Elephas maximus indicus: one gene and its partners. The protein of the gene in region 1 interacts with the protein of each later gene in a pairwise test. Links are inferred from orthologs where the notes say so. Each region holds a gene or a part of one and is shown in the gene's direction. Other genes may lie near its edges. The genes, in order: REL, PGAP6, EXOSC5 and CGGBP1.

Region 1 (7,614 bases):
GCCTTCTTTGGTGAAGTGTCTGTTCATATCCTTTGCCCATTTTTAAACTGGATTATTTATTTGCCTATTGTGGTAGAGGTGTTGGAGTTTCCTGTAGATATTTGAGATTAGGCCTTTGTCAGATTTGTCATAGCCAAAACTTTTTTGTGTGTAGGTTCTCTTTTTACTCTTTTGATGAGTATAAGCATTTAATTTTTAGAAAATCCCAGTTACCTAGCTTATCTTCCAGTGTTTGTATATTGTCAGTTATGGTTTGTATTCCATTTATGATGTATATTAGGGCCCCTGGCACTGACCCTATTTTTCTTTTTATCATCTTCATAGTTTTTGGTTTTATGTCTTTGGCCCATTTTGAATTAGCTTTTGTGTATGATGTGAGATATGAGTCCTGTTTCATTTTTTTTTTTCACAGATGGACATCCAGTTTTGCCAGTACATTTGTTAAAAAGACTGTCTTTTCCCCCATTTAATGGACTTTGGGCCTTTGTGAAAGATCAGGTGACTATAGGTAGATGGATTTACATCTGGGTTCTCAATTCTGTTCTTTGGTCAATGTGTCTGTCATTGTACCAGTACCAGGCTATTTTGACTACCACAGCTGTATAGTAGGTTCTGAGGTCAGGCAGTACGAGGCCTCCTACTTTGTAGTTCCTCCTCAATAATGCTTTATTGCTCCAGGGCCTCTTTCCTCTCCATATAAAGTTAATGTCTAGTTTTTCCATCTCATTAAAGCAAGCTGTTGGTATTTGGATCGGGATGCTGCTGATGGTTTTAAAGCACGAGAGTGATATGGTCAGAAGTGCGCTCATACAGATGACTCAAGCAACAATAGGTCTGAATGGTTTTGTGGGGGGGGGCAAAAATGTAGACAGACGTTAATAGGTGAGTATTCTAATAGTTCAGGTGGGGTATGATGATTTGAACAAGGGCAGTGGCAGTCACGAGACAACAGGAATGGCTTCCTATTTGACTGGGAAAATCAGCAGGATTTGGTGACTGGATGTCATGGGGGTAGGAATGATTTGAACAAGGGCAGTGACAGTAGTGAGAGCGAACGGGTTCCTCTTTGACTGGTAAAATCATGGGGTAGGTGAGAGGGTGGTGAGAACGAAAGGAGGCAGAGACGGCTCCAAAGTTTTAGCCTATGTTTCTGAGCCCAGAAAACACGAGAGGAAGAGCAGCTTTAGGAGAGAAGATGTTGGGTAGGCTGAGGCTGGGATGCCTACGGGACTTCTAGTGAATGTGTCTAGCAGACAACTGGATATAAGGGTTTGAAGCCCAAGGAGAGGTTCAGGCTGGATATATGGTCCTGGGTCCATGGGTAAAATCAGGAGAATGGATGAGATCACCTAGGGAACAGGTGCGGGTTCAGACGCTTAGGTATTATACATATTCCCTCCCATCCAACCTAACTTTTCCTACCTTTTTGTCTTCTTTTTCAAGACAGTATTGCTCATTGCTATTCCTTGGGCTATGTAAGAAATATTGTACTGACTGGTCTTCTGCAAAGGACTTCTTTAAAGGGTTCAAAAGCAAAAATGTGACCTTAAACACTAAGGTGCGCCTGACCCAAGCCATGGTGTTTTCAATTGCCTCCTATGCATGTGAAAGCTGGACAATGAATAAGGAAATCCAAAGAATTGATGCCTTTGAATTGTGGTGTTGGCAAAGAATATTGAATATACCATGGGCTGCCACAAGAACAAACAAATCTGTCTCGGAAGAAGTACAACCAGAATGCTCTTTAGAACAATGGTGAGACTGCGTCTTCCATACTTCGGGCGTGTTGTCAGCAGGGATCAGTCCCTGGAGGAGGACATCATGCTTGGCAAAGTACAGAGTAAGCAGAAAAGAGGAAGACCCTCAATGAGGTGGATTGACACAGTGGCTGTAACAATAAGCTCAAGCATAACAACGATTTTAAGGATGGCTCAGGATCGGGGAGTGTTTCCTTCTGTTGTGCACAGGGTCGCTAAGAGTCAGAACCGACTCAACAGCACCTAACAACTGACTGGTCTGATATTTATGACCACAAATCTCAAATGGGGATTCAATACAGCCAGGTATACCTTCTAAAACTTCACTCTCAGAGACCATGTTTTCAGTTTCTGCCCTTCACCTTATACTTCATTTTTTTTTTAAGGCAATCTGACTGAGTACCCCGTCTTGGTACCACCAAGTATACTGGGCTCTGTGCATCTGTAACCACCCACTCTGTCTTCCTTCTTTTACCCACAGAAGAAAAGTCTCCATTCCAATTGGTGGCCCTTCACCTGTGCCCTGGATTTCATCTTGTCTCTCTTCCTCATTCAAGTAATTAACCCCCTTTCTCTCAATCATCATCAATTTCTCCGTCACTACTGAATCTATGGAACCAACAATACCATTAAGTTCAAGGAACACCTAAAACCAATCAATTCCTGCAGGTGGAATATGAAAAAACACAAAGTATTTTCCATTCCTATCTGTCTCTCACCCTTCTAATCGATTCTTAAACATCTGTGCTCAGTCTGCCCTTACAGCTCTGACATTTGGGATTATGAGGATAAATAAAATCTAAGAAAAACTTTTAATTAAAAAACTTCCCTGGTGCCAAAAAAAACAGAGACCTTCCCCTCGCCCCCCTCTTCTTTAGAAAATTTGATTTGTAAATGCTTTCTCTAACTCTTTGAGAAATACGTGAATCCTTTTAATCCTCTTGGCCAGTTCTGATCCAAAGAAGGTCTTTCTTGGTGGCCTTGAAGGCATTTCTTTGAAATAGGAACATAAAGGAGGATAGCACCAAGTCTTCCTGTCTCTGTAGGAGTTTAAGCCAAAGGGGTTGGCTCCAAGATGTAACTCCCTATTGCTGAAACGATAGAAAAAGTTTTGTTTGCTTTTTTTTCCCCCTTTTGGATAAGACAATTAACAGGTATGTAATGGATTGTATTTGTCTGGCTATATAGAAGGGTGAAGTTTTTTTTTGTCTTTGCAGTCTCTTTAGCAGATTGCCTATGATGTACGTCACAGTGTGATTTAATATTTAGGATAAGACAATTAACAGGTATGTAATGGATTTTATCTGTCTGGCTATACAGAAGGGTGAAACCTTTTTGTCTTTGCAGTCTCTTCAGCAGATTGCCTATGATGCATGTCACAGTGTGATTTAATATTTACTCAGTAGTAAAAGTGCTACAGTCTTCTCTATTTTGTAGGAGGATACTGGGGTTGGCAGGTTTTAATTTTCCAAATAGGGTCCTCCCATTTAGAACACTTACTCTAGGCTGATACTCTCTATTCCAACTCCATACATTTGAGGCAATAAGAGAGAGAGGACTAACTCAGAACTGAAGCCACTCCTGAAGTCCACCTTTCAGGCCTATAAAACAAATAACACATGTGAGGAATGTGTTTCTTAGTTCAGTCAAGTATAGAGACCAAACGGGCAACACCTACCCAAAAGCAAAGAGGAGAAGGCAGGAAGGAACAGAACACTGGATGAATGGACATGGAGAGCCCAGAGTGGAAAGAGGGGGAGTACTGACACATTGTGGGGACTGCAATTAACATCACCAAACAACTGGCGTATAAATTTTTTGAATGAAAACTAATCTGCACTGTACACTTTCACCTAAAACACAATTTAAAATTAAAAAAAAAAAGGGGGGGGAGAGCGTGGAAAGAACATGAAGGTTTGGATTCAGACTACCTTAGGTATAAATTCTTTTTCCTTCTAGCAGCATTCTGGCCTTTGGACAAGTTACTTAACTCTCTGAACCCCGCACCTCATCTCTAAAACCAGGATACTACTACTTCACAGGTGAGATAAACTATCTGGCCCGGAGGAGGCTCTCAGCAAATGCGGGACACAAAGCTATACTGGATTCCTTCAACTCCGAATGGTTTTCCATCTCCCCTTCCTGCTGGGCCTCTCCGTTAAATCCCAGGATATGGGGTCCACCCAACGGCGACTCGTTTTTCGCTCAACTTCCACACGTAACGACGGGGCAACTGCTCCCCAGAGCACGAAATCGCGGCGCAGGACTCTGACTCGAAAGGTTTTCGTGGGTAAAACTCGTAAAGTCAACTCGGTGCCCTCGCAGCTTAAAGACAGAGGGGGAAGCCACACTGCGGGGGAGCCCCACGCAAACGAAGATCCCGCACGGAGAACAGAGGCGCCGGCCGCGGCCGCACCCCTCAGCGGCGCCTCAGGACGCGCCGCCTCACCGCCGGCCGGGGGCGGCCATTTGCATGTACGAAAGCGGGAAAAGGGGGAAGCACCGATCGAAAACCCCAGGCCCACCTCCCCCGAGCCGCCGGCCCGCCCCGAGCGCCCCGGCAGGCCGGCCTCCCGACGTCACCGCTCCCTCCCACCCGCCTGTGAACTTTAAACCACGCTCGGCAGAACAACCCGGAGGAGGGGGATTTCTCGGCGGCCCGCGGCCTCGGCGCGCGGCCGGCCCCTCCGCCTCCCGGCGTCCCCTGCGCTCCCCAGGATCCTGCGCTCCCGGCTCCCCCGGCCCGCAGCCCTTCGGGGGCGCATGCGCGGGGGCGGGCGCGCGCACGGGGCGCAGGGGCGTGCGGACGCGCGCGGGCCGCCGGAGGCCCCGCCCCCCGCCCCCGGAGGACGCGGTGGCGAGCGGCCTACGTCAGCGGCGGGAAATCCCCCTCCCGCCGGGCTGCCTGCCTCTCCGCGGGCGGGCGCTCGGCTCCCACCGCGCTCCGGCACCCTGGACGGGCGACGCCGGCTGACCGGAGCGCGAGAGCTAAGGAGGTGGGAAGGTGTGAGCCGCAGAGCCGAGGAGGGCGGGAAGGAGGAGGAGGGCCCGGGAGTGGCCAGGGAAACTGGGGTCCCGGCGGCAGAGGGCCGCGACCGGCTGACTGACTGACGCGCTCCCTGGCCGCGGCGCCGTCCGGCCCGGACGCTTGGAGCTGCCTGCGGGGCGGCGCGGTGAGCGGAACCATGGCCTCCGGTGAGTGTTCCCGGGGGGGAGCGAGGGCCGAGGTCCCCGCGGCAGGGTCGGGGGCAAAGGTCGCCCCGGGGCTGCTACCCGGGTTTCGGGGGCTCTCGGTCTGCCGGGCTTTGGCCGCGGCGCGTTCAGTCTTTAAAATCGCGTCAGCCGGCAAACCGTCCGCCCTTTGAAAAGTGACTTGCTTGAGGATTTGCGTGCGAAGTGACAAGCTCGCTCGGTAGTTGGGTCCCATTGTTGCAGCTGGAACCTTAGGAGTTGCCGGCGGCTTGGTGTTGGGATCGGGGCGGCGGTGGTCGGAAGGGAGACGGGGGTTCTCGGGGGGATTCGTGGTGAAATGGTGGCTCCTGCCTCAGAGCAGCAGCGGGGTGACCCCGTGTCGCCGGGAGCTGCCCCTCGGGTGACCCCACCCCCATGTCACCAGGTGACCCCACCCCATGGTGACCCCACCCCATGGTGACCCCACCCCATGGTGACCCCACCCCAGGTGACCCCTGTGTCGCAGGGAGCTGCCCCTCTGGTGACCCCACCCCATGGTGACCCCACCCCAGGTGACCCCTGTGTTGCAGGGAGCTGCCCCCCAGGTGACCTCACCTCCAGGTGACCCCACCCCCAGGTGATCCCCGTGTAGCCGGGAGCTGCCCCTCGGGTGACCCCACCCCGTGTCACCAGGTGACCCCCGTGTCGCCGGGAGCTGCCCTCCAGGTGACCTGACCCCCAGATGACCCCACCCCAGGTGACCCCCATGTCGCCGGGAGCTGCCCCTCAGGTGACCCCACCCCCAGGTGACCCCCGTGTCGCCGGGAGCTGCCACCCAGGTGACCCCACCCCAGGTGCCTCCACCCCAGGTGACCCCCGTGTCGCGGCGGAAAGGCGCCCCGAGAGCACATCCGAGGGCGAAGCCGGGTGCCCCCCTCCCGGTCGGCTTTCCCCTGGGGCAGGAGGGAAGGGGGTTCGGACCCCAAGCCCTTAAGCGACGGCTGGAGACAGACCAGCTCCTGCAGCTTCTGCAGGGCTCACCTCTCGGGAGTGGACGCCTGCCGGTAGCTTTGTGGGGCTGTGGGGTGGGCGAGGGCGTCTGCAGTGCAGGAACGGGGCCCGGGGGGCTGTGGGGTGGGCGAGGGCGTCTGCAGTGCAGGAACGGGGCCCGGGGGGCTGTGGGGTGGGCGAGGGCGTCTGCAGTATAGGAACGGGGTCCGGGGGGCTGTGGGGTGGGCGAGGGCGTCTGCAGTGCAGGAACGGGGTCCGGGGGGCTGTGGGGTGGGCGAGGGCGTCTGCCGTGCAGGAACGGGGTCCGGGGTGCTGTGGGGTGGGCGAGGGCGTCTGCCGTGCAGGAACGGGATCGGGGGGGCTGTGGGGTGGGCGAGGGCGTCTGCCGTGCAGGAACGGGGCCCGGGGGGCTGCGGGGTGGGCGAGGGCGTCTGCCGTGCAGGAACAGGGCCCGGGGGGCTGTGGGGTGGGCGAGGGCATCTGCCGTGCAGGAACGGGGTCCGGGGGGCTGCGGGGTGGGCGAGGGCGTCTGCCGTGCAGGAACTGGGTCCGGGGGGCTGTGGGGTGGGCGAGGGCATCTGCCGTGCAGGAACGGGGCCCAGGGGTCTGTGGGGTGGGCGAGGGCGTCTGCCGTGCAGCAACGGGATGGGGGGGTGCTGTGGGGTGGGCGAGGGCGTCTGCCGTGCAGGAACGGGGCCCGGGGGTCTGTGGGGTGGGCGAGGGCGTCTGCCGTGCAGCAACGGGATGGGGGGGGTGCTGTGGGGTGGGCGAGGGCGTCTGCCGTGCAGGAACGGGATGGGGGGGGTGCTGTGGGGTGGGCGAGGGCGTCTGCCGTGCAGGAACGGGATGGGGGGGTGCTGTGGGGTGGGCGAGGGCGTCTGCAGTGCAAGGCCAGGGGACTGGAGACCCGTTGGTTTACGCTTGACCCCGCCTCCCAACCCCCTGCTCCGTGACCCTAAGTCCAGGCTGATACTTAACAGAAGAGGAAGTAGAAAACTTAAAGGATCTTTTTAAAGGGTTGAGCAGAACAGTGCTGCAGCCACTACTCTAAGCTGAAAAGGAAATAGGGGTGTTTCATGTGACGTTTGATTTCAGTTTGTCTTTGTGGTTTTCTTGTGAGAACACAAATATGGTTTAAAACTCTCCACTTTCCCTTTACCCATTTCAGTGACCCCGAACTTTCAGTTAATGTTCTAAGTTCATAAACTCAAAGCACATTTAGATTAAAAGCACAAAGATGACTTTGAAATATTTGGTTAATTTATTGGTTATCAGAAAGATGTTTTATGGAAGTGGTGAAGAATGACAAGCATTACAAGGAAAAGGTCAGCCTGATGTCGATTTAATCAAACTTTACTAATTTACTGCATGAATATATTGTGATCTAACTCTTGCAAGAGAAAAAAATTAATTCTCTATAGAGTAGCATTCTAAGACCCACATGATTTTAAAATGTGATGGAATTTAAATTTGTTTAATGACATTATATCTTCTGCTGTTATGAGGACTAAGAATTCCCTAAACTGGAGGGAGGAAACTTTTAAAGTTTTGGAGGTTTGGAAGTTGAAAAGTGATTATCTTACTTTTTTTTTTTTTTTTAACATTTTCTCACGAGTTAGATTAAAATAGGACTATTTAAAATATGTTATTTTAAAATGTAATCCAGTTGTTTGAA
Region 2 (7,253 bases), on another chromosome or scaffold:
TTTTCCCATTTGCAGCCACGTTCTATCATGGTGTTTATCTCATGGGATGGAAACTCATGACGCAAATGCCCAGTTGTCTAACGGCCAGCACTTGCGTGTTTCCTCCCCACTGCAGTGATGTTGCTGTGTCAGACAATCCGTGAATGCATCCGCAGGGAGAATGCATGGGTGTGGGCTCACACAGCCTGGGTTATTTTGGTATTTGTGTTACCAGTATTGGGTTGTTTGGGTAGATGTGTCAGAGGCTTCCATGAGGTTCATCCTAACCACATCCCCACTATAACATCTGTGGGCCTATACAGTGTGATCACTCTTTGGTCTACCATCGATTTGTAAGGTAATAAAAAGGCACCTCAATTTGTTGTGATTTGCATTTTTCTAAGATGGGCGGGTTACTCTGAGTCGGAATCTACTCAATGGCACTGGTTTTAAGATGCGAGGCTGAACACCTTCCTGTCTAACATTTGCATATCCTTTTCCGGAACTCTGTAACTGTAACCTTTAATTATTTATTTATTTTGGAGTGTTGGTATTTTTCTATTGATTTGTAGGACTGCTTTATTATTAAGATCTTCATTTTTTAATTTTATTAAAATTAGCCGTTTGTGGTAAGAGTCACAAGCTTGTCATCCTCCACCCCCCAGTTTAGGGCTTGTGTTTCTACTTTGCTTATCCTATAGGGTCGCCATGACTCGGAATCGACTCGATGGCACTGTTTTTTTTTTTTTTTTAATGCTAGTTTTGCTCTGCAGAAAGTTTTGATTCCCACAAGGTTGAATTTCTAAGTCTTGCCTCTGATGTCTTCAGGATTCTGTGTCATACTTAGAAAGGCTTTCTCTTCCCCAAGGCTGAAAAAGTTTCCCCAAGTTTTATCCTGACTTATCGTTTCTTTTTGCTTAAATCTTTAAGCAATTTGCAATCTACCCTGGTGTACGGGTGTTAGTCCCACTCACTGATGTGTACTAAGTTCCCACAGGTGCATACATCTCTTTCATCTTCCCATACAGGTGTGCGTTTCGAACACACGCCTAGAGGATTTGTGGTTGAAGGGCGCGGGAGGCCAGCCCTGGGTAGTCCAGCTCTGGAAGTCTAAAACCCGGTCTACGAGGGCGGAGCAGAACTCCGCTGAAGGGTGGGGGCAACTCCGTCGGGTCCCGGGTAGAGGCTGCCGTTCCTCCACGGGCCTCCACGAGACCGCCACATCCTACTCCGCCGTCCTTATGCCGGGGTGCACGCGAACTCACAGACCCTTCTGCCCGGTGGACTCGCAGCGCCCGAAGGAAGCGTTTGGGGTGCTTCTCCTCTCGCATCTCCAGTGCGTTCCAATTCCCGCTCCATACCCCCCTCAGTCCCACGTCCCAAGCGGCCCCCTCTGTTCTACCTCCTTCGCGCGCACTGCGTGACCCTCCTTCCCATCCCTCCCTGCTACCCAAACCGCGCGCCGGGTCATTGTCCGCCCTCTACCCGCGCCACCCTCTGACCCGCTTCCCTACACGCTACCCTCCCGCCCGGCGCACCCCCACCTCTGCGCGCGCTCTCCGCCGGCCCCCCATGTCCCCGGCCTCCCCGCCTGCCTCCCCCCTGCCCCTCGCCCGCCTCGGACCGGGCTGCCTGTGGGGCGGGGCTTCGCAGGCGGAAGTACCCGGGGCGCTCGCGGCGGGACCCGCCGGGACCATGGGAGCCCGGAGCAGAGCCCGAGGCGGCGGCGGAGGCGGTGGCTGTAGCCGCCGTGGCGGCAGCGGCTGCCCGGGCGGCGGCGGGGGCGGGCGGCCGGGAACGCTGTCCAGGTAGCCCCGGCGGAGCACGGAACCATGGGCCGGGCTGGCACCGGGGCCGGGGGCGCGGCGGCCGCAGTAGCGGGGCCGTTCCTGCTGCTGCTGCTCCTGCTCGCTCGGCCCCCGCCCGCCGGCGCGGGCGACAGCCGGAGGAGCGGTGAGCTACGGGGCAGGCGGGGAGCGCCATCTCAGAGGCGCGGGCGGGGTGGGGCCGGGATTGTGACTCACCTGGAGGTACCTGTGCGCTCGCCGGCGCTGCGCAGGGCCGAGCTTCCCACCCTGGCTGGGGCACCCCGCGTCCAAGCGGTCGCGGTGGAAAGGACGCTCAGCGAGCACCCTGAGTCCCCAGAGCCCGGCTGGGCCGACGAACCGCTCCGAACATGCCCTCCCGCCCTCCTCCTGGGGGTAGGCGCCCGGCACCGAGGTGCAGGGGACCAGAGGACTCAGCTTGGGACTCAGCTGGAGACCCGCTCGGGAAGGAACCAGGCAGTCGGCTTCCAGAGCCCACCTGGCCCGGGAGTGGGGCGGAGATGGGAGAAAGTTGCTCAGTTAGACCCCAGAGCAGGAGCTAAAGAGTGAAGAGCTCAGGTCCATCCCGGACTCAGGGCGACTGCGACCCTAGTTACTTTCTCTGGAGGCCCTGCTGGACTCTGGGCGGCCCTGTCCAAGGAACACCGTGGGCCAGGGTAGGTCCGGAGAGTAGGTTGGGAACTTGTTGGGTGCCTGGCATTTCTGTCCCCGAGTGAGTTCACCCACACTGAGGCCCAAGGAGGTGGCTGGAGGGGGGTGCCATTCCCTCAGAGTTCTGCATGGGGCAGGATCTCCCTGGACCTATGGGATGATGAGTACCTGCCTCCTGCCCCAAGGCTGGATGGACCCAGATGGGAGCCGGTGGGGGCAGAGGCAGCTCCAGGGAGGCCAGTCTGAGAGTTCCAGCAGGTACACCAGAGGTAAGAAACCTGCTAGAGGACTCCCAAGCCCACCAAGCCCAGCCCCTATTCCCAGCATACAACATGGCCAGGGCCTCTCTGCTTAGGGCCCCAACTTTCTGGGTCCTGGCTCCTCCCCTGCCTTCTCTGAAATCTTGCTCCTTTGAGCTCCTGTTTCTTCTGAGGTTGTGTCTTCTGGTGCTGAGCTTGGTACAGCTTGAAATGAAAGGTTTCCCAGAGGACTGAGCCCCTCAGCCCCTTCCGCCTCTGCCTGCCCAGGTGCCATGTTTTTGGGGTCTGTGGTTGGGAGGTTTTCCCAGCAGACTGCCCTGGTTTGGGGCTCCCCTCACTCTGCATCCCAGGAACGGCTTAAGACTTTCTTCCTTGCTCCCTCCAGCCCTCAACCTGTGTCCTTGGAGGCCAGTGTAGGTGGGGCAGGATGGTCCCCCTCATCTTCCCTGGGGTCAGAGTTGTGACCTCCACATTCAGTAACTACTTGGCATGCTCACCAAGATAACTGTGGGCATCTCGGCTGGAAAGCCAGGGGAGGCCATGTTATACACTGGGAATGGGGGCTAGGCTTAGGAGTCCTGGAGCCCATCTCTGGTGTACCAGCTAGAGCTCTCAGCTGAGCACCAGGTATACTCTGAGGCTGGTCAGGCTAGGAGGCCACAGTATTCCAAGCTGAAGTGGCCTGAGGCCTTGTTCCTGAAGCTCCTGTCCCCTCCACCTGGGGGATGGAAGGCAGCCAAGTTTCAGCCCCCCAGAGGTCCTGGGGTCTAGGGTGGAGGAGGTCTGCCCCAACCACAGCACTTTAGGTTCTAGCTGTGCCATCATGTCATCACGGGGGCAGCAGTGGCCTCAGGAGTGCCCAGGTGCCCGGCCTGATGTGTGGGACCCTGGTGGGCAGGGCCTGTGGCTTTGGCGGCCCCCCTGGTGGGCTCCTTGAGCTGGCACTGGCTGTTGTTGTCTTTTCTCCAGTTCCTCCACTGGGGGGAGGGAGTGGTCATGAGGCTGGCAAGAGAACTGGCTGTCGTCTGGCTCCCTCACGTGCTCCCCTGGAGGGTCCTGAGCCTGCAGCTCCCCTGTGGACAGAAGGAGGCTACCTGGCAGCCATGGGCCGGGGGCACCCAGCTTAAAGGAGAGCCGTCGCACCCTGCTGCGTCCACAGTACTTCTTCCTGCTTCTGCCCTAAGCTCTTTAGCCTTGAAGGGAGGCGCGCTGGAGGGAGGTGCCGTTCACCTCAGGTGGCCCAGAGAGGGGAGGGCACGGCCCAAGGTCACTTGGGCATGAGGCATAGAGCCAGATCCTAGGCCTGACTGGCTACCGCCTCCCCCCACCCCACCCCACCCCCACCGAGTACAGAGAGTGCCCAGGAAGTGCCTGTTCTGGGGGGGGAGTTCCTGGAGCCCATTGCCCAGGGCAGATGAAAGGAGGGACAGGACTCACCATGACCATGCCACATTCTTTAACATGAGCCAGGGGCTGGCATGCAGGGAGGGAGCAGGGCTTGGGGCGGACTGGGAGCCAGGGTCTCTGAGGTTACCCCTGCTTTTAAGGGGTGGGTGCTGGGAGGGCTGCAGGTGGTTGTTCTGGAAGTTGTGACATGGGTATGAGATGAAGGGAGAGGGAGATGAGCACCTGGAGCAAGAGGCAGAGAGAGCTGAGATGTTCTGAGTCTGAGGCTGTGAAGGGGGCCATGTGGGCCAACAAGGTACGCTGCTCCCCAGGTGGAGCATTGCTTTTGGATCTGCAGACTTTGCGCAGGGATGGGGGGCTTGAGGGGACACTTAACATCTTGGGCTTCTGCCAGCCAGAGACAGTGCCAGGGGCCAGAGGGCTGCAGAGATCTTGCCAACGTCATCTTCGCCTTCGGGCTGATGCAGCACATGTCCCTGCAGATGTGTGGCTCGTGTCTGAGCTCTTCTCACAGACCCCGCAGCAGCTCTCCTTCTACAGCTGGTACGGCAGCGCCAGGCTCTTCCGCTTCCGGGTGCCTCCAGCCACTGTCCTGCTGCGCTGGCTGCTGCAAGTGTCCCGGGGCAGTGGCCCCTTGTGCTCAGATGTGGAGATCACTGTGTATGCACCTCTCTGCCCTGCCTGTGCCCCAACAGCCAGCCCACACCCCAAGCTGGCCAGGTTGCACCCTGACACCTTGCTGTCCCACCCTAGACACTTCCGCTATGGCGCTCCTCCAGTCATCAATCCCCTGAACACCAGCTTCCCTGACAACACCTCAGTGCCACCCTCCTTCCAAGTGCGAATGCTGCTGAGTGCGATGCTACAGAGCAACGCCTCTGTCAACGTCTCCCATCCAGCATCTGGGGACTGGTTTGTGGCTGCCCACCTGCCCCCCTCTCCCGAGAAGATCCAGGTGAAGGTGAGGGACCATTTCCCCTGCTCTGGCTGCCGAATGGGCAACCAGCCCTCCTGCCTCTCAACCTGACTCTCTGTCCAGGGCTTCGTCCCCTCCTGTGCCTACATCTTCCAGCCAGACATGCTGGTCCTGCGGGCAGCTGAAATCTCTGTGCTGGAGCCTGACATGCCCCTACCACAGACCCTCTTTCTTTCACGCTCCAGCTACCTCAAGTGAGCCAGGGGCTGGGGAGGCAGGTGTGGGGATGTTTGAACCCTTGCAGATGGGGGAGAGGGTGGCACCGCCTTGGCCAGTAATCTCTCTGGGAGTGAGAGTGGGCAGACGTCTGGCCCCTGACATCGCCCTGCCTGTTTACCCTCCACCCCCTGGGGGGAGCTCCAGAGCCACCCATCCTCCTGCAGGGTCTTCATCCCTGAGTTCACACAAGAGCTGCTGCTTGAGCTGCAGGACTGTGCTTCCAACGGGAGCCAGGCCTGCCCTGTGCGCCTGGCCGTGGGCTCGGTCACCTTGCCTAGTGATTTCCGGAGGGTGCTCAGCTGCACTGGCCACCCCTTGCCCTGCCGCCTGCTGCTGCACTCCCCACCCTGGGACCGGTGGCTGCAGGTGACAGCTGAGAGCCTGGTGGGGCCCCACGTCATGGTGGCCTTCAATGCCGTGGCCACCCTCACAGGTGGGCTGCATGGGTGGCGGGCAGGCAGGGGTGGTTCTCCCTGGCTGCATCTTTAGCTGACCCTGTCCTCTGGCAGCCTGCAGGCCGTGGACTGTGAGCACCCAGCACCACCTACAGGGCAGCCCCAACCAGAGCCATAATGTCTCCAATGGCCCCCAGGACCCCAACCATAGTGGCGGAGCAAGTGACTCCTGCTGCCTCATGAGCTACCCTGTGCTGCGGGAAGACATGGATGTGGTGTCTGTGCGCTTCCGGCCTCTGGACAGGGTCTCTGTGGTTGTGTGGCCCGACGTGCCCTCTGTGCTGCAGCTGTACCTTAACACGGGCATGGACAGCGGAGGCTCCCTCACCATCTCACTGCGGGCTAACAAGGTACCCCTACTCCCCAGGGCTGGTCTGTGGATGACTTGGGCCCACAGGGGCTCTGGCTGGGGTAATGTTGCCTCAAGCTGATTTTATCCACAGAGACAGGGTTCTGGCAACCAGGTGACACCAGCCAGGTGTTGGGCCAGATGGGGGTCTGCTGGAGGGACGGGCTACACCTGAGGAGTTGGGGCAGTGGGGTGGGCTGAAATCTGAGAGGCAGGCTCCAGGCAGGTATCCCAGGCAGACACTAGTGGCCTCAGGTGGACGTCAGCGCTGCCTTTCTGGGTCGCTCTGGGCCTGGGCCAACTCTGACCACCTTCCTCCAGACCATGGTCAAGAACAGCACTTTGGTGGTGGCCTGCGTGAATGCCGCCTCCCCTTTCCTCAGCTTTAATACTTCGCACAACTGTACCACAGGTGTGTGGGCTGGTGGGCGGCAAGTGGTTCCAGGCCGAGTACTCTGGCCTGCTCCGCCGACCAGGCCTTCCTCCCCCAGCCTTCTTCCAGGGCCACCCGCTGACCCTGAGCGCCACATCCCGGCAGGCCAACCTCATAGTCCCCTTCCCAGAGACAGAAAACTGGTACCTATCCCTGCAGCTCATGTGTCCCAAGAACCCCAAGTGAGTGAACCTGGGGCCTGGGGGGGAGTACTGCCACGTCACTGGGGCTGGCCACCTGCCTGCCCTTTGGTCATTCCTGAAGCAGCCCCAGGACCAGCATGGAGCCCTGGAGGGATTCCTGGGCCTCGTGGGGAGAGGGGAGGCAGAGCTTACGGCTCCAGACTGTCAGACCAGGGATGGGCGTGGGGCTTTTTTCTGGGTTCGGGGGTCCATGGGTCTGCAGGAACACTGACAGGTAGCCGCCTGCCTTCCTGTGTGTCCCCCCACAGGGAGTGTGAGCAGGACAAGGTACATGTAGAGATGACCCTGTACCTGGTGCCCTGTGTGAACGACTGTGGACCCTACGGCCAGTGCCTTCTGCTCCGCAGACACGGCTACCTGTATGCAGGCTGCAGCTGCAAAGCTGGTAAGGGCTAGCTGAAGGCATGGGGGGGTAGGCGTCCTCCCAGCCCCCCACCTCTGCTCACGGCCACTGGCACAGGCACAGTGTGGCACCCCAGGAGGAGAGCAGCCTGC
Region 3 (7,738 bases), on another chromosome or scaffold:
TGAACTAAGCAGGATGTTGCAAGACTTGAACTTCAGCCCTATCCTTTCTCCTCCTGGCAGCCTGGTACCATGACAAGGAACTGGGCTTTGGCGTCCAGAGCTCCAAGTTCACACCTCTCTGAGCTCAGGCTCCTCACCTTTAACAGAAGGGTACTACCAGTACATCCAGTGCCCATGTTGCTGATGCTGCTATGCGATGGTATTTCAAATACCAGCAGGGTCACCCATGGTGTACAGGTTTCAGCAGAGCTTCCAGAGTAAGACAGACAAGGACGAAAGGCCCGGTAATCTACTTCCAAAAATTGGCCAATGAAAACCCTATAGATCACAACAGAATATTGTCCAATAAAGTGCTGGGGGGTGATCCCCGAGGTTGCAGGACACTTAAAATACACAGCGGCCACAACAATGGACTCGAGCATACCGAAAAGTGCAAAGATGGAGCAAGACCGGGCAACATTTTGTTCTCTTGTACGTGCTGTTACCATGAGTCAGAGCTGACTCAATGGCAACTAACAAGCACCAAAACATCCCTTAAAGTGCGGCTGTATTAAATACAATAGTGGGTGGGAACTGGCACTGTCAATCACAAAGTACTTCATGACATGACAAAGGGCCTGGGTTCCTTAAGAGATCTGCCAACAGGGAGATGGACCCGTACGGTTAGATCGGTGATGACCGGTTCCACTCATCCCACAATACACACTGGGTACCTACCACTTAGAGGTACTGCACAGGGCGCTGAAGCCCCTGGACAGGCTGCCCTTGACCAGCAGATTGCAGAGATACCCGTAAAGTTACTGATAATGAGCACACACCAAGGCGCTCCCTGAGTTTGACAGGATGACTCCAGTCATACCACTTGCTGGACTCAGAGGGGTGAAGTGGCTTGGCCAAGGTCCCACCTGCTTCCTGGGCCTGATCAGGGGCCTGGGGTAGTGGCTCAGAAACTGACCCCTGACTCCTTGACAAGTGAGTTTCCTTCCTCCTCTTCTCCCTGAGCACTGAAGCAGCTACTATCAACAGGTAGGGGAAGGGAGGTGGGAATCGGGTAAACACCCCCAAGGCAACATAGCATACCACGGAGACTGGGAGAAGGGCAGGCAGGTAGGGAGGAAATAAGGCATCCCCGTCCCTCCACCCAACCCCACTGGCCCCTATAACCCAACCTGTCTCCCAACCTTTCCCCAAGGTGCTATCATCTTGGCTCCACCTTAATCAGCTGAAAATGGACTGTTCAATACAGTAGCCACTAGCCATTTCTGGCTATTTAAACTCATTAAAATTAAAGCTCCAGTTCCTCAGTTGAACCAGACACACATCAAGTGCTCAGTAATCACATGTGACAGTACAAATACAAAACATTTCCATTATCACAATTTCTACTGGACAACCCTGGTCAAAATCCTTTTTCACTAAAAGCTACTGCCCCTTCACTCCACTTGAATTGAAAAAAAAAACAAAAAACTAATCTAAGAACAGGTAGAAAAACTAAAAGGTGGGAGGGGTGAGGAATCTAAAAAAAATAGAAATAAAAAACAAGGACTCTGGAAGACACACACACACAATGAACGAGGAGCAAGAAAAGTAGACAGACTGAGTCAGAAGGGAAAACAGAGTTAATCAGTCACAAGTGACCTTTCCCCACTCTTGCCCCAATCTGGCCCATGTCCAGCCTCCCTGGCCCAGCCAATGGGCTACTGGGACTGAGATCAGGCTGTGGGAGAAGTGATTGTTTAAAATCAGCAGAAGAGAAGAGCCCAAGGCAAGAGATTGCCTCACTCTGGATCCTGCAACAGCAACCTTTTCACTTTTACCTGCTTCAGGTGGCTCCCTTCCCAACACCCATGCCTCTCCCCCAGCCAATCCTCTTCCCCTACCTCCCGTTTCTCCCCCTACCTCCCGTTTCTCCCCCTATCCAGAGCTTCTTCCTACAGATTCCCTCTTCCTTTCATTACAGATAGGGAATCAGAGGGTCAGACCCAACCTCTCAACATCTAGATAGATTTCTCCCCAGGGTCCTTGCCTGTCCAGACCCTCCCAAAGTCACCTCCTTCTTTCCCTCCATCTCCAAAGTCGGTTTCTGTCCCTCCCCTCCACCCTTACTTTCAACAGCAGCCAAGATTCCTACTGCTTTTATCATAAGCTAGGCCCAGTTCTTAGCACTTTACACATCTAATCTTCAAAGCAGCCCCATGAAGTGGCCACTCTTAGTATCACCCCTTTACAGGGGGAGAAACTAAGGTCCAGAGAGGTGCAGTACCGGGCCCAAGGCCACACAGCTGGAAAGTGGCAGAGCAGGGCTATGAACCCATGTGGTCTGGCTCCAGGACCTACCCTCTTACCTACTACTCTCTTATTTGTGGAATTTTAGTTCAAAGCTCTTCTGAAGCCCACTGTCTCTCTCCTCTAAACTAGATTTCTGCAGCATGAGCTTACCCTTAGCACCCACCCTAAGAAATTCTGACCCTTAAGAAGTTTCCCGAATAAACCAAACGCTTCGAAGGCCAGTGTAGCAGGGGACCATGGTTTCAGGAGACATCTAGGTCAACTGGCATAATAAAATCTATTAAGAAAACATTCTGCATCCCACTTTGGAGAGTGGCGTCTGGGGTCTTAAACGCTAGCAAGCAGCCATCTAAGATGCTTCAATTGGTCTCAACCCACCTGGAGCAAAGGAGAATGAAGAACACCAAACACACAAGGTAATTATGAGCCCAAGAGACAGAAAGGGCCACATAAACCAGAGACTATACCAGCCTGAGACCAGAAAAACTAGATGGTGCCCGGCTACAGGCGATGACTGCCCTGACAGGGAACTCAACAGAGAACCCCAAGGGAGCAGGAGAGTAGTGGGATGCAGACCTCAAATTCTCCTAAAAACACCAGACTTAATGGTCTCACTGAGACTAGAAGGACCCCAGAGGTCATGGTCCCTGGACCTTCTGTCACCCCAAGACAAGAACCGTTCCCAAAGCCAACTCTTCAGACAGGGATTGGACTAGACTATAAGATAAAAAATGATACTCATGAGGAGTGAGTTTCTTGGATCAAGTAGACAGATGAGACTATGTGGGCAGCTCCTGTCTGTAGGGGAGATGAGAAGGCAGAGGGGGACAGAAGCTGGCTAAATGGACACAGAAATAGAGAGTGGAGGGAAGGTGTGCTGTCTCTTTAGGAGGAGAGCAACCAGGAGTACATAGCAAAATGTAAGTAAATTTTTGTATGAGAGATTGACTTGATTTGTAAACTTCCACTTAAAGCACAATAAAAATTAAAAAAAAAAATCCTGACCCTTTTGACAAAGAACAAAGCATTTCTCCAGTGTCTGTAAGAAATGTGGGCAAAGTGCACTGTTCAGATCCCTCTCTTCTATCCTCCTCATTAACTCAACAAATATTTACTGAGCATCCCCTCTGTGCACTGACTAGAACAGACAAGGTCCCTATCTCGACATTTGATCAGGGGAGAAAAGAATTAAAACGACTTTTTCACACGATTCATTTTCATATGAGAATTGTGGCAAATGCAACAAAAAGGGTCGCTATGAGTAGGAACCTACTCGAAGGCAATGGATTTGGGCTTTTTGGTTTTATAAAAGCCCAAAGGAGCCCTGGTAGCGCAGTGATCAAAGCGCTCGACTGCGACCCAAAAGGGTGTCAGCGGTGCAAACCTACCAGCCGCTCCGCAGGAGAAAGATATGGCATCTGCTTCTGTAAAGATTACACCCTTGGAAACCCTATGGGGCAGTTCTACTCTGTCCTGTAGGGTCGCTATGAGTCGGAAACAACTCGATGGCAACGGGTTTGGTTTTGCTTTATAAAAGCCCATGACAGGGGGATCTGGTCTCTCCTTCCTCTTTTATAAAGGGAATTCTTTACCCAAAAGAAAGACCTTTCCTTACTAAGGCAGTTTCATTCCCCAACCTTTGAGGGGAACTGTCTCGCCTTCCCCCATCCTTCCAAGCAGACGCGCTGGGGGTGGGGCACAACTCATAAGGAGTTCTCCTCCCTCAGAACCCACGAAGGGGCTGCCTCGCTTTTCTTCGCCCAAGGAAGTGGAGGTTCTTTCCTTGAGTGTCCTCTCCACGTGGTTTTCCCAGCCCTTGTCCTTTCCCTGACTGTCCTTTCTTCACTCTCTGCAAGCACCTCACATTCTGAATGAAGACAGCGTCTATATGCCTGTTCCCACTTAGAGAAAACTCCTCGGGGGCCCCAGGTACTCACAGAGCAGGCCACTCCCCGAGCCCCAAGTCGCCTCAGAAGCAGTAGGCCGGCCCTGCCCAGGCCTCGACTTGGCCCCCAAAACCTCGTCGCAGCTACCGCCACCGCCATCTTGGCTAACAGCTGCTCCTTGGCTCTCCTATCGCCTCGGGTCAGGGGCTGCCACTTCATGAGCCTGACTCTGCTGCCTGCACCACCCTGCCAAGAAACCACCTGCTTCCGCTTCTGGCGACGCTAGGACGCAGAGATGAGTTTACAAAACAATACAGCTTCCTAAAAAAGTCTCCGACCGCCTTACTGCTGTTGCTTCCGTAACAGGCAAAGAAGAGGGCTACCTAATCATAGCCTCAGGGTTTCAGGGCCCGGGGGCCTCGGGAAGAAAGCGACCATGCCAGGCTCCGCCCCTTCTCCGCTGTCCAATGGCTTCCCTGGAGTTGAGAGGCGGGGGTGGGCGGGGCCAGAGTGTTGGTAAACGCTGAGCCACGTGCAGCCGCCAGACGCAGCGCCGGGAGATGGGCGCGTGCGTACTGGATGGGTAGCTTGTACGCAGGCGCGCATGGCTGGGCGGAAGCTACAGTGGCGGACTGCACGTGGAATCCCAAGTGATGGAGGGGGCGATGCAGGTAGACACCCAGATCCGTACTGAGCCTGGGGCTGAGGCTGGCCCCGGGGGCCCCGGCTGCAGCCTCCGACACTTTGCCTGCGAACAAAATCTGCTGTCCAGGCCGGATGGCTCAGCCTCTTTCCTGCAAGGTAAGAACCCAGGTCAATACTGCCCGGGAAGAGTTCGCGCATGCGGTGTTTGTTTTTGGCGGGGGACGGCTACAGTGTACCGTGCAACGAGGAGTCCCTTTTCCCCACGATACTAGCTGGTAAGTGTCTCCCTTGTATTGTGTCTCCCGCGTGGATACTGGTTAGGCCGGGATAGATCTCTCCCTCCCGACTAGAAGTGGGAAGGTATCTCCACCCTCGTAAATACTTTGCAGGATGAGGGAAGGGCAGTCCTCCCCATAAGAATGAATACTCCAAAATAGGGAAAACTTTCTCATGGGGTAAGTAACTCCCTGTAATAGATTCGTCCTTCCTCACCCCACACACAGCCCGGGTCCATATATTCCAGGCTGAGGCAAACCTCCCATCTGTATAAATACCCCATAGACTGGCAGATCACCACCACGAGCTAGACCGTAGCTGTGGCAGCCTTTTATCCTAATAATTACTGCTGGGTTAAGAAAGATCTCCTTCATCCCAGCTCCACCAATTGTGTCAACACCCCTTTGACTGGGATACACATATCTGCATATGAGTAAAGATTGGGGCGAGTTATAGTTATTGGACGAATATTTTTTTCCTTGAGCTAAATACTTCTTAAGTTAGGCCTGACTCCCTGACCAAAACTGATTAAAAAAAAAAAAATCCCTGCTCTCATAGGGTTTACATTCTAGTGGGGGAGACAAACAATAAATAAGAATAATAAGTAAAACATATAGTAAAATGCTATAAAAATAAAGTAGGGAAGGGGAATAGAGTGTGCTGCAGAGGACTAGAATCTTAAATAGGATGGTCAGAGAAGGCCTCACTGAGGAGGTGACATTTGAATAAAGACCTGAAGGAGGCAAGGGAACAAACCTGAAGATCTCAGGAGGAAGAGTATACCAGGCATGGGGAACAGCAAGGACAAAGGCCCTGAGACAAGACCTTGTTTGAGGAACAGTCAGGAGGCCAATGTGGCTGGAGCAGCAAGTGGAGAGGAGTTAGTGGGAGAGGGGGTCAGAGGGTGGTAAGGAGAATTGCTGATGATATAAGGTCTAGAGAGTGAGATGGGAGCCATTGGAGGCTTTGAGTGAAGGAGTGCCATGGTCTGAATATATGAACAGTATCACTCTAGCTGCTTGCTCTGTTGACTGGAGGGAGCATAGTAGGGAGGAGGTGGTGATGGCTCAGACCAGGGTGGAAGCAGTGAGAGCCTAGATGCATTTTGAAGGTAAAAACCAACAGTATTTGCAGATGATTTGGTTTGGAGATACTAGAAAAAGAATCAGGGAGGTTTGAAAGCCACTGTTCTAGTCAAGCTTTGGGCTTTTCTCCAGATCAGCTGTGACAACAGAAGATAAGTTCAGTCTGGAACGTTATGTTTGCAATACCAGGAGTCCCTGGGTGGAGCAAACGGTTAAATGCTGTGCTACTAACTGAAAAGTTGGGGTTCAAGTCCACCCAGAGGCACTCAGAAGAAAGGCCTGGTTTTCTGCTTCTGAAAAGTCAGCCACTGTAAACCCTATGGAGCACAGTTCTACCCTGACCCGCCTGGGCTCGCCATGAGTTGAAATCAACTCGACTGGTTTGGGGGTTTTGGTATTAAACATCAGAGTGGAAATGTGCAATGGGCAGTTGTTGATACAATTCTGGAATTCAGAGGAGAGAGCCAAGTTGGGCATATACGCTTTGGAATCCTCTGGCTGTAGATGGTGTTTAAAGCAATCGATTGGATGAATCACTCCTGAAATGAGTAGAGATAGAAATGGGAAGAGGTCCTGGACTAAGCCCTGGTCTTCAGCTTTGAGAGTTCATGGACATGTGAGGAATTAGCAAAAGAGACTGAGAAGGAGCAGCCTGTGAGGTAGGAGAAAAACCCGGAGAGGGGGCGGACCTGGAGCCAAGAGAAGAACGTGTTTGAGAAGTAACGGTAGACAGCCTTGTTGGTCCTACTGAGAGGCTGGGCCACGCGAGCACAGGAGACCTATGGGTTTGGCAGTTTGGAGGTTCGGGAAGGTGACTCTGCCAAGGACTGCTTTAGTGGAAGGATGGGGTCCAAAGCTTTGTTATTCGGTCAAGGAGAAGAGGAGGAAGAGACAGGGAGTGAAGGCAAGTCTTGGGGAGTTTTACTGTAAGAGCATCAGATAAATGGGGCTGTGGTTGAAGATGGGAGTCCCCGGGTAACACAAATCATTCACGCTCTCAGCTGCTAACCGAAAGGTTAGACTTTTGAGTCCACCCAGAGGTGCCTCAGAAGAAAGGCCTGGTGACCTGCTTCCCCAAAATCAGCCACTGAAAACCCTGTGGAGCACAGTTCTACTTGCCATGAGTCAGGACCAACTCCACAGCATCTGGTTTGTTTGGGTTTTTTTTTTTTTTTTTGGTGAAAGTTGAATGTGCGGTGGAAGGAGGAGAGAATCGCAGGAGCTGGGTTGCTTGAGGGAGCCCTGGGGGGCATGGTGGTTAAACCACTTGGCTGCCAACCAAAAGGTTGGCGGTTCGAACCTACCAGTTGCTCTGCGGGAGAAAGATGTGGAAGATTTACAGCCTTGAAAACCCTGTGGGGAGGTTCTCCTCTGTCCTGTAGGGTCGCAGTGAGTTGGAATCAGCGTGACAGCAGTGGATTTTTAGGAGCTGCGTAAGAAGGTGCAGGGGGGCACAGGCAGGATATCCAGAGTAACGGGCATGAAGACCTTCCCCGAGGATCTAGCCTACTCCCCTAACAAACACCTTCATGGCTCCCCTTGGAGTAGATTTCCTGG
Region 4 (7,233 bases), on another chromosome or scaffold:
GCCAAGTTTACAATCAACCCATTATAAAAAATTTTTTCAATATACTTATATAGCAACAAAATAAGTTAAATTATTACAACCTTCAGGACTCAAGAAAATCTTCACAACACCTTACAAGTCAGAGAGACAATAATTATCTGTTTCTTGAAATATTTTTTACAACTCTGGAATAATGAAAGAGTACTTTTTATATTGTTTCCTCCATGACTCCCTGAGTACTTCCAGTAAATTTATTCCCTTTGCACCACCTTGCCAAGTAATTAATTCAGTTTATAATTACTTGAGGATTTATTTGTAATCTCAGTCTGGCTTTCAACAGAAACTGAAGGATGAGTTCAAATCCCAGCTTGTTCACCTAACAGAATTTAGACAACTTAAATTTGTTCTGGCCTACCTAAAGGGCTTTGTCACCTAACAGAATTTAGACAACTTAAATTTGTTCTGGCCTACCTAAATGACATTAAGAGTTAGTAAACTCTCGATAAACTATTTTTCCCATCTTTTCATCCTCAAAGCATAATGAAATATCAGGGGCTAATTCTACTGAAACATTTTTTGAGAGTCTACTAACAACAGCCAAGGGAGAATGTGATAAGGGCGGCCAGTCCAACATTACCAACAGCATTTAACTATTCGGAAATCAACACTTTCAATCTCCTACATCTATCGTCTCAAAAATCATTTAAGCCTAGGGAACTACTCCTTTTACCTGAGATTTTACAATTACTGGTAATGTTTCTCAAATAGAGAAGTATATCATCGAATGCATTGGATGTGTGTATAATGTATCATTTATATTATCTATCTTTCTTTCGTCTTCTGCTTTATTTTTCCTTGTAGTAAAAGACACAAGAACTTCTCTTGAAAAGAACTGTTCCTTCCTCTCTTCCTTCACCTACACAACTGCCAAGAAATTTTGATTCATATTTCCCTCTAAAGAGGGAAGACAAACTGGAGCCTTTCTTCTCAACTCAAGGCTAGTTGTATAATCCATATCTTTAGTTAACTGTCACCTACCTAAGTGCATATTAACCATTTCAGGATTACACAATTAAGTCATTTTACTAATGAATGCAACTTGCTTCATATTACCCTCAATAAATATTAAGACACAAATGTTTAAAAAGAAGCAATCTTTAACTGGAAATTACATTATAATCTACTGCTAACCTTATTGTCAAATAAAACTGAGAATTTTATAATCTATTGTCTTCAAGTCAATTCCAACTCCTAGTGACCATATAGGACAGAGCTGAACTGTCTCATACGGTTTCCAAGGCTGAAATCTTTATGGAAGTAGACTGCTACACCCTTCCCCAAGGAACAGCTGGTGGGTTCCAATCGCTGACCTTTCGGTTAGCAGCCGAGAGCTTCGATGACTGCGCCACCAGGGCTCCTATAAGAATAACTATACTAGAATTTTATTAATCAGTGGACAAAATTCAACTGATGAAGGTAATCTTTTTTTTCCATCTACAAGTTTTAATACAGAAAAGGGCTTCACAAAGCTTACATACAAGATGGTGCTAGGACAGGAACCCTGAGACAGATCTATTGATAACCTAGACATCATAAGGTTTCAGGTAAAAGTTGGTAACATGGAAGTTTGTCAGTGTAACACTCATAATTTAGCAATATAAAATGAAAAGTCTTTCAGTTCTGTTTACTTTTATGTCCTTGGATATTTAGGAAGTAGTGGAATTTTATAGTCAATCTTATTTGTTCTTAATGTTTATTTCAAAAAATAGAATTAGAGTAGTAAAAATTCTCCAAGTAAACTTGACCCTCAAATAAAACCTCAAATTCTACAGCAGTTAACCATAAACGACTTAATTGTGAATAATCATAAAATGGAGAATACGCACTTAGGTAAGTAACAGTTCACTAAATATATAGATAACCATCTGATCAAGTAAACTAACAAAGCTAAATGTAACCAAAAACCAAGCTGCTCATTTATAATACAAAAACCAAAACAGAAAAAAACAGAGTTTCTACCAGTCAATATATGAAAAAGATAAAAATGTAACCTAATTTTCAGAAGTTTAAATTGCCTGTAGATACTGAGTCTACTGATAGCATGGTTTGGGGAAAGCCATGAGTCAGAACTGATTTCAAGGCAACTCATACTGGTAGTTGTGAAACCTATAGTTAGAAAGCAAGTGCTCAACAAACAATGAACCTTTAAATCCAGTGAATATCAATACCAAAAATAAAATACATTTTCAAGAAAGTCACCAAATACAAGGCAGCATCAATGAAAAAGGACACACACTTCATACCAAACAGTTTCCACCTACAAACCAACTTAACTGTGACACTGGTCAAAAGAAAAATGAAATCAAGAGACAATTTAAACTAAAGCATTAAAAACTTAACTGAAAATGTCAACTCCATCCTTTTAACTACTCTTATACTGTTTCCTGAAAGGCAGTTTAAGAACAAATAAGGCTATTTTATAAATGCTGGAAAGGGCATAAAATCCAGTGTCAGTGAACATGATGTCCATTTCTTCTTAACTTTAAGTCCTGCTTGTTATCAGAATGAAATTAATAGCTAACTGATTCAAACTCATTTACCTACTATCCCTACCAGATGAAAAGAGAAAACTGAGGCATAGAGAGTTTAAGTAACTTGTCCAAGGTCACAAAGCTAGGAAGTGGTGAAGCCAGGGTCTGAACCCTATAAAAAAATATACGTATGATAAACAAAGGGGGGAGGGTGGGAAAGAAACGATTCTTTTGCAAAACAAGAGTATTGTGTATGAGAACAAAACGTTTAAATTATAAATACATGCTGATTTAAATGCAGATTACACAAATTTTACCCTAGATAAGTACTCTGGCGCTGTAATATTTTACTACATTTAAATACTTTAAGCTATATCAAATCGACAGTCGACAGAATAAAGAAAAAAAAAATTGTACCGTCATCGTTCGAACACTGTATTTCAAAGGCTAAAATACACTGTAACGTGAAAGACAAGGGTATGTAACTAGAGCAATAGTCTAAGGAAAACGACTTTCTTGCAGAGCAGTTAATTAGGAGAGAGAGTGAGTGTTTAGGGGAAGTGGGAGGAAGCGAGTAAGAAAAGATGACAATCACACAGCCTTAACCCACCCCTCCTCCAGCCCCAAAAAGTAACCAAGTCACTGTGGGTCAACACTGAAGCCAACCGAAGAAGTGGCCCAACGGGATCTTGAGAGGGGATGACAGGAGACCCTAGGAGAGGGGGAGGGGAGGCGGTGACAGGAGAGGGGGCAGTAGAGAGAGGGCATGCCTTCCATCCCAGAAAAAGGGGAAAATCCTGGGGAAAGCGGCAGAGAAGGGAAAGCAGGAAATGTCACAGAGGGTCCAAATGAGGTGAGGAAAACAGCGTAGGAAACACAAGAAAGGCGGGACCCTCGGGCAGGAAGGGGTCTGTCTGGGGCATAGGAGGCATGTCAGTACAGAGCTTTCCTGCCAGCTGACCCTGCCGCCCTCTCTCCAGCGCCTCTGACAAACCCTCACTTCTCGACAACCCTAAGCCCGCAGGTCACCACGGTCCCGCTCCCCCACCCCCCACCCCAAGCCGGATAGGTGGAGGGGGGAGCGTCGTCCTCACCCTCCTCGTGGGCTGGAAGAACTAGCACCGGACAGAGCCCAGGCTAGGGGGCGAGATGGCCAGGAGACGCAGGGAGGCCCTGGCCGGGGGTGACGAGACGGGGCGGCCGACGGGCGCCTCACCTGACAGAAGCGTCGGCAGTAATCCCGACTGCTGATTCCGACGCCGCCGCCGCCGCAGCTGCCGCCGCCAGCGCCGCCTCCGCCGTCACCCGCAGCTCTAAGCCTCTCAGGCCCCGGCGGGGACTCCACAATGGCCACGAGCTCTTCTCCGAGGCGTTCGGCCTCTTGGTCGCTCTCTTCCTCCGCCATGAGGCTCTCGCCGCCCAGCGCGTACCAGCCCCTGCGCCGCCGCCGCTGTAGCTGCCTTGGCTAACCTCCTCCTCCTCCTCTAGTTCCCTCCCCCTTCTCTCCCCCCTCCGCCGGACAGGGGCCCCACGGCTGGGCTCTACTTCCGGCTCCGCCCACCCACGCCCCCAGCTTTCATTGGTAAAATATGCAGTCAGTCATGTTTATGCCCGCCTTTCCACTACCATTGGTCAAGTCAGCCGCCTGTTTGATAGGGACGCTGTCCGTTGGTCAATACCGCTCGGCGGTTGCTGGGGCCCGCCTACCGGGCTCTGCCATAGGCGGCGCAGGAGGACGGGGCGCGGCGGGGGACACGGCGGCCGCGGCGGGGCTCGATCGGGCAACGGCGGCGGCGACGGCGGCAGCTACTAGTTCTCCTCCTTCCTCATCCCTTTGCTCCTTATCTTCCTCCTTTCCTTTCCGGCTGTGTCTCGTCCACTTCCCCTAGCGGCAGCCCCGATCCTACGGTACCAAGGAGCTGGGGAGACCGAGGGTGGGCCCGGCCGTTGGTGCGGGCTGTGGGCCCCGGGCCTTCCGTCCCGAAGCGGGAGCTGGGGGCGGGGCCGTGGCACCGTTGTCGGCGGGAGGAAGAGGGAGGAGACGGGAAGCCTGACAGCGGCCGCCTCCGCCTGGCGCCTGCCGCCTCCTCCCGTGAGACTACGGCCAACTCCTGTCGAGTTCCCGGGCCTGGGGCAGCTGGGACTCGGCCCTGCCCAGCTAGCGGGGCCGGGGCGGCGGGGCGCCGGCGTGCTGGGTTCGACTCGGGAGGAGGGAGTCAGACGCTCGGGAACGTCTCGAGCCCCGCCTTTCCCTCCCCCGCTCGAACCCCAGGGCCTGGGGAGCGCGAGAGGATGCTGGAGGGACCTGGGGATCGGGGTTGTGGGGTAAGCGTTGGGATCGGGGTTTGTGGTGGGGAGTTGTTTTTAGAGACACCTGCCTGGTAGTTGTTGACGTTCCTGGTCATCTTTTCATCCACCTTTCTTTCCTTCCCCCTGCCCTTCCCCCATTTTTTCTTTCCATTTGTTTTTCGTATTTTACAGTAAAGGCATGACTTTCCGGTACCGCAGGGAAAATAGGGTGCAAGCCCAGAAACTGTTTCCCCATCACCACTTGTTGAAAAACTGATTTGGAGGCATCTCCGGGTTTGAACCAACGTAAGGTGCCAGGGATTGATGCGCCTCTGGTTTTGCTTGGAGACCGTTCACTACTAAGTATCAGGACGTAAACAACTGGAAACTAATCCGGTAAACATTTTCAAGTTCCGATGAGTTTTATTTTGATCCAGCGAAGGATTGGCTTCTTCTCTTTTGTTGTCTAATTCTTGCTCTTAACTTTTTAACGGCCTTGTTTGTTTAAAAATATATATATCTTTTGCTGAAAACACTTTTGTTCTTTGAGTATGTAAACCCGTGCATTCTCTGACCTTTTGGAAGTTAAAAGACATTGTATAGAACTTTCACATTAGCACATGGGATTGAGCATTTTACACATTAAGGAATTATGTGCCTGTTGATTGTTTCACAGTTTAAAAGCTAAATATTTAGAGGCAGAAGATTTTTCATGTAGAAAGTAAGATTTAATTATCCCTGGACAGAAGTATTTGATGTTTTGCGTAAGTAGATTAGAACCATTAATCATATTTAGGATTGACTCACCGTAGGAGTATAAAACATACTGTAAAAGTACAAATATGTGTAATAGTAATTCACTGACTACTATGCAAGAATCATACTTGTTTTGCCTGCCATTGTAAAGCCATGGCCTATCACATTGTTCCACACATAAAATCCATGTATGAAAAAAATCTAAAGTAAAAAAAAGAAAAGAACATAACCCAGGGTATTTACATGTTAGAATTTATCATGCTTGCCAGAATTTCTGTGAAATATTGAGTTATTCCCTGGATTCTTTGTATCCACAAGTGTTAGCAACTTAAAGTTCTTTTGAGAAAGATTTTATGTTATAAACAAACCTGTTGTGGTCCAGTCCGTTCCAACCCACGGCGACCCCGGGTGTTACAAAGGAGAAGTGCTCCATAGGCTTGTCCTGGCTGTAATTCTTATAGATCACCAGGCCTTGCCTTCCTGCCACCGCTGGTTAGGTTCAGGCTTTGCTAGCTGCTCTCTACTGTGGATTCACAGAGTACTACATTGTTTCTGGAAACTCTGGTGGCGTAGTGGTTAAGTGCTATGGCTGCCATCCAAAGGGTCAGCAGTTCGAATCTGCCAGGCACTCCTTGGAAACTCTATGGGGCAGTTCTACCCTGTCCTATAGGGTCGCTATGAGTCGGAATCGACTCAATGGCACTGAGTTTGGTTTTTGGTTTACATTGTTTCTGATTAGACTTAAGAAGCGTGGTTTTTCAGAGCATACATTGGAAGTATGTTTATACAGAACAGAATTCCATTTTTAGTTCTATCAAATGTATTTTAATTTCTTAAACCTAGATTAACGTAAATATTTATAAGTGCTTAGCCTGAAGTCATGGCCCCAGGTAACTACTAAGATGTAAGTAATGATTTTGAGTACTTGGCACAGACTAACATGTGTTTATTAGCTCAAGTTTTCAGTGCTTGTAACATGATTTTGGCACTTAGTTCTATGAACATAAAAGTTTGCTGCTAGAACCTACTCAGACATTATTAAGCTGCATCTGAGTTAAATAAAAATTTGGATAGTGAAGATTTTTCCATCAGCATTTTTTGATTGAGCATCTATCATATGGTAGGTGCTAGGTTAAGTTCTTGATTTTTTTCTTTTAACTTACTAGTTAATAAGTGAAGTAAATATTAATGCCATGTAATTGTTAATATTAAAGAAACACACGAAGTATTAGAAAAACACTTTCCATATCTTGATTATAATCTTTTAGAAAACTTAGGAGAGGTATAAATGCATTAAAAAATAACTTACTCAGAACTTTATCTTTGCTTTAAAATTTAAATCCATTTGGTCTGTGTTTCTTAGTTTTTACTTTTTTGTCATCACAGCAGTTTTGAAAATTCTGTTCATATAGAATTACGCCAGTTTAGTGGCCCACCTGTTTAAACAAACTTCGTACACAATTCCCCACAATTTTATTCCTGAAATCAGTTGTCATAGGGTTATGAAGGGAAAGAAGCTTTTTTAAACTTGGATAAGATTAGTAAACACCCCAACTGTTGATCCATGATTGGGTTTTCCTAAAAGATAGTAGTATCTGGGACAGTTTCAGTTTTTTATTCATTCTAATTGATTTGAATTTCATAAAAACCAAGAAATGGGCCTAATTGTTATTTTAAT

What was found.
Region 2: the proteins of REL (region 1) and PGAP6 interact in binary tests that used the Homo sapiens proteins (3 or more experiments, as listed by UniProt). The two-hybrid records come from large-scale screens. The link is inferred for Elephas maximus indicus from reciprocal best matches to the Homo sapiens genes REL and PGAP6.
Region 3: the proteins of REL (region 1) and EXOSC5 interact in binary tests that used the Homo sapiens proteins (3 or more experiments, as listed by UniProt). The two-hybrid records come from large-scale screens. The link is inferred for Elephas maximus indicus from reciprocal best matches to the Homo sapiens genes REL and EXOSC5.
Region 4: the proteins of REL (region 1) and CGGBP1 interact in binary tests that used the Homo sapiens proteins (3 or more experiments, as listed by UniProt). The link is inferred for Elephas maximus indicus from reciprocal best matches to the Homo sapiens genes REL and CGGBP1.

Annotation. Positions count from the first base shown.
Region 1 is NC_064844.1:1,354,762-1,362,375, reverse strand, and holds the start of REL (proto-oncogene c-Rel), read left to right. Parts: upstream 1-4,604; 5' UTR 4,605-4,942; coding exon 4,943-4,952; intron 4,953-7,614. UniProt on the Homo sapiens protein: Proto-oncogene that may play a role in differentiation and lymphopoiesis.
Region 2 is NC_064830.1:57,666,469-57,673,721, reverse strand, and holds the start of PGAP6 (post-GPI attachment to proteins factor 6), read left to right. Parts: upstream 1-4,246; 5' UTR 4,247-4,337; coding exon 4,338-4,783; intron 4,784-4,876; coding exon 4,877-5,084; intron 5,085-5,162; coding exon 5,163-5,293; intron 5,294-5,482; coding exon 5,483-5,751; intron 5,752-5,827; coding exon 5,828-6,123; intron 6,124-6,443; coding exon 6,444-6,534; intron 6,535-6,613; coding exon 6,614-6,737; intron 6,738-7,006; coding exon 7,007-7,143; intron 7,144-7,253. UniProt on the Homo sapiens protein: Involved in the lipid remodeling steps of GPI-anchor maturation. Lipid remodeling steps consist in the generation of 2 saturated fatty chains at the sn-2 position of GPI-anchor proteins (GPI-AP).
Region 3 is NC_064829.1:109,789,889-109,797,626, forward strand, and holds the start of EXOSC5 (exosome complex component RRP46), read left to right. Parts: upstream 1-4,733; 5' UTR 4,734-4,828; coding exon 4,829-4,976; intron 4,977-7,738. Other genes in the region: BCKDHA (2-oxoisovalerate dehydrogenase subunit alpha, mitochondrial), read right to left, coding at 4,227-4,394. UniProt on the Homo sapiens protein: Non-catalytic component of the RNA exosome complex which has 3'->5' exoribonuclease activity and participates in a multitude of cellular RNA processing and degradation events.
Region 4 is NC_064836.1:60,696,645-60,703,877, reverse strand, and holds the start of CGGBP1 (CGG triplet repeat-binding protein 1), read left to right. Parts: upstream 1-4,227; 5' UTR 4,228-4,835; intron 4,836-4,991; 5' UTR 4,992-5,195; intron 5,196-7,233. Other genes in the region: ZNF654 (zinc finger protein 654), read right to left, coding at 3,727-3,915. UniProt on the Homo sapiens protein: Binds to nonmethylated 5'-d(CGG)(n)-3' trinucleotide repeats in the FMR1 promoter. May play a role in regulating FMR1 promoter.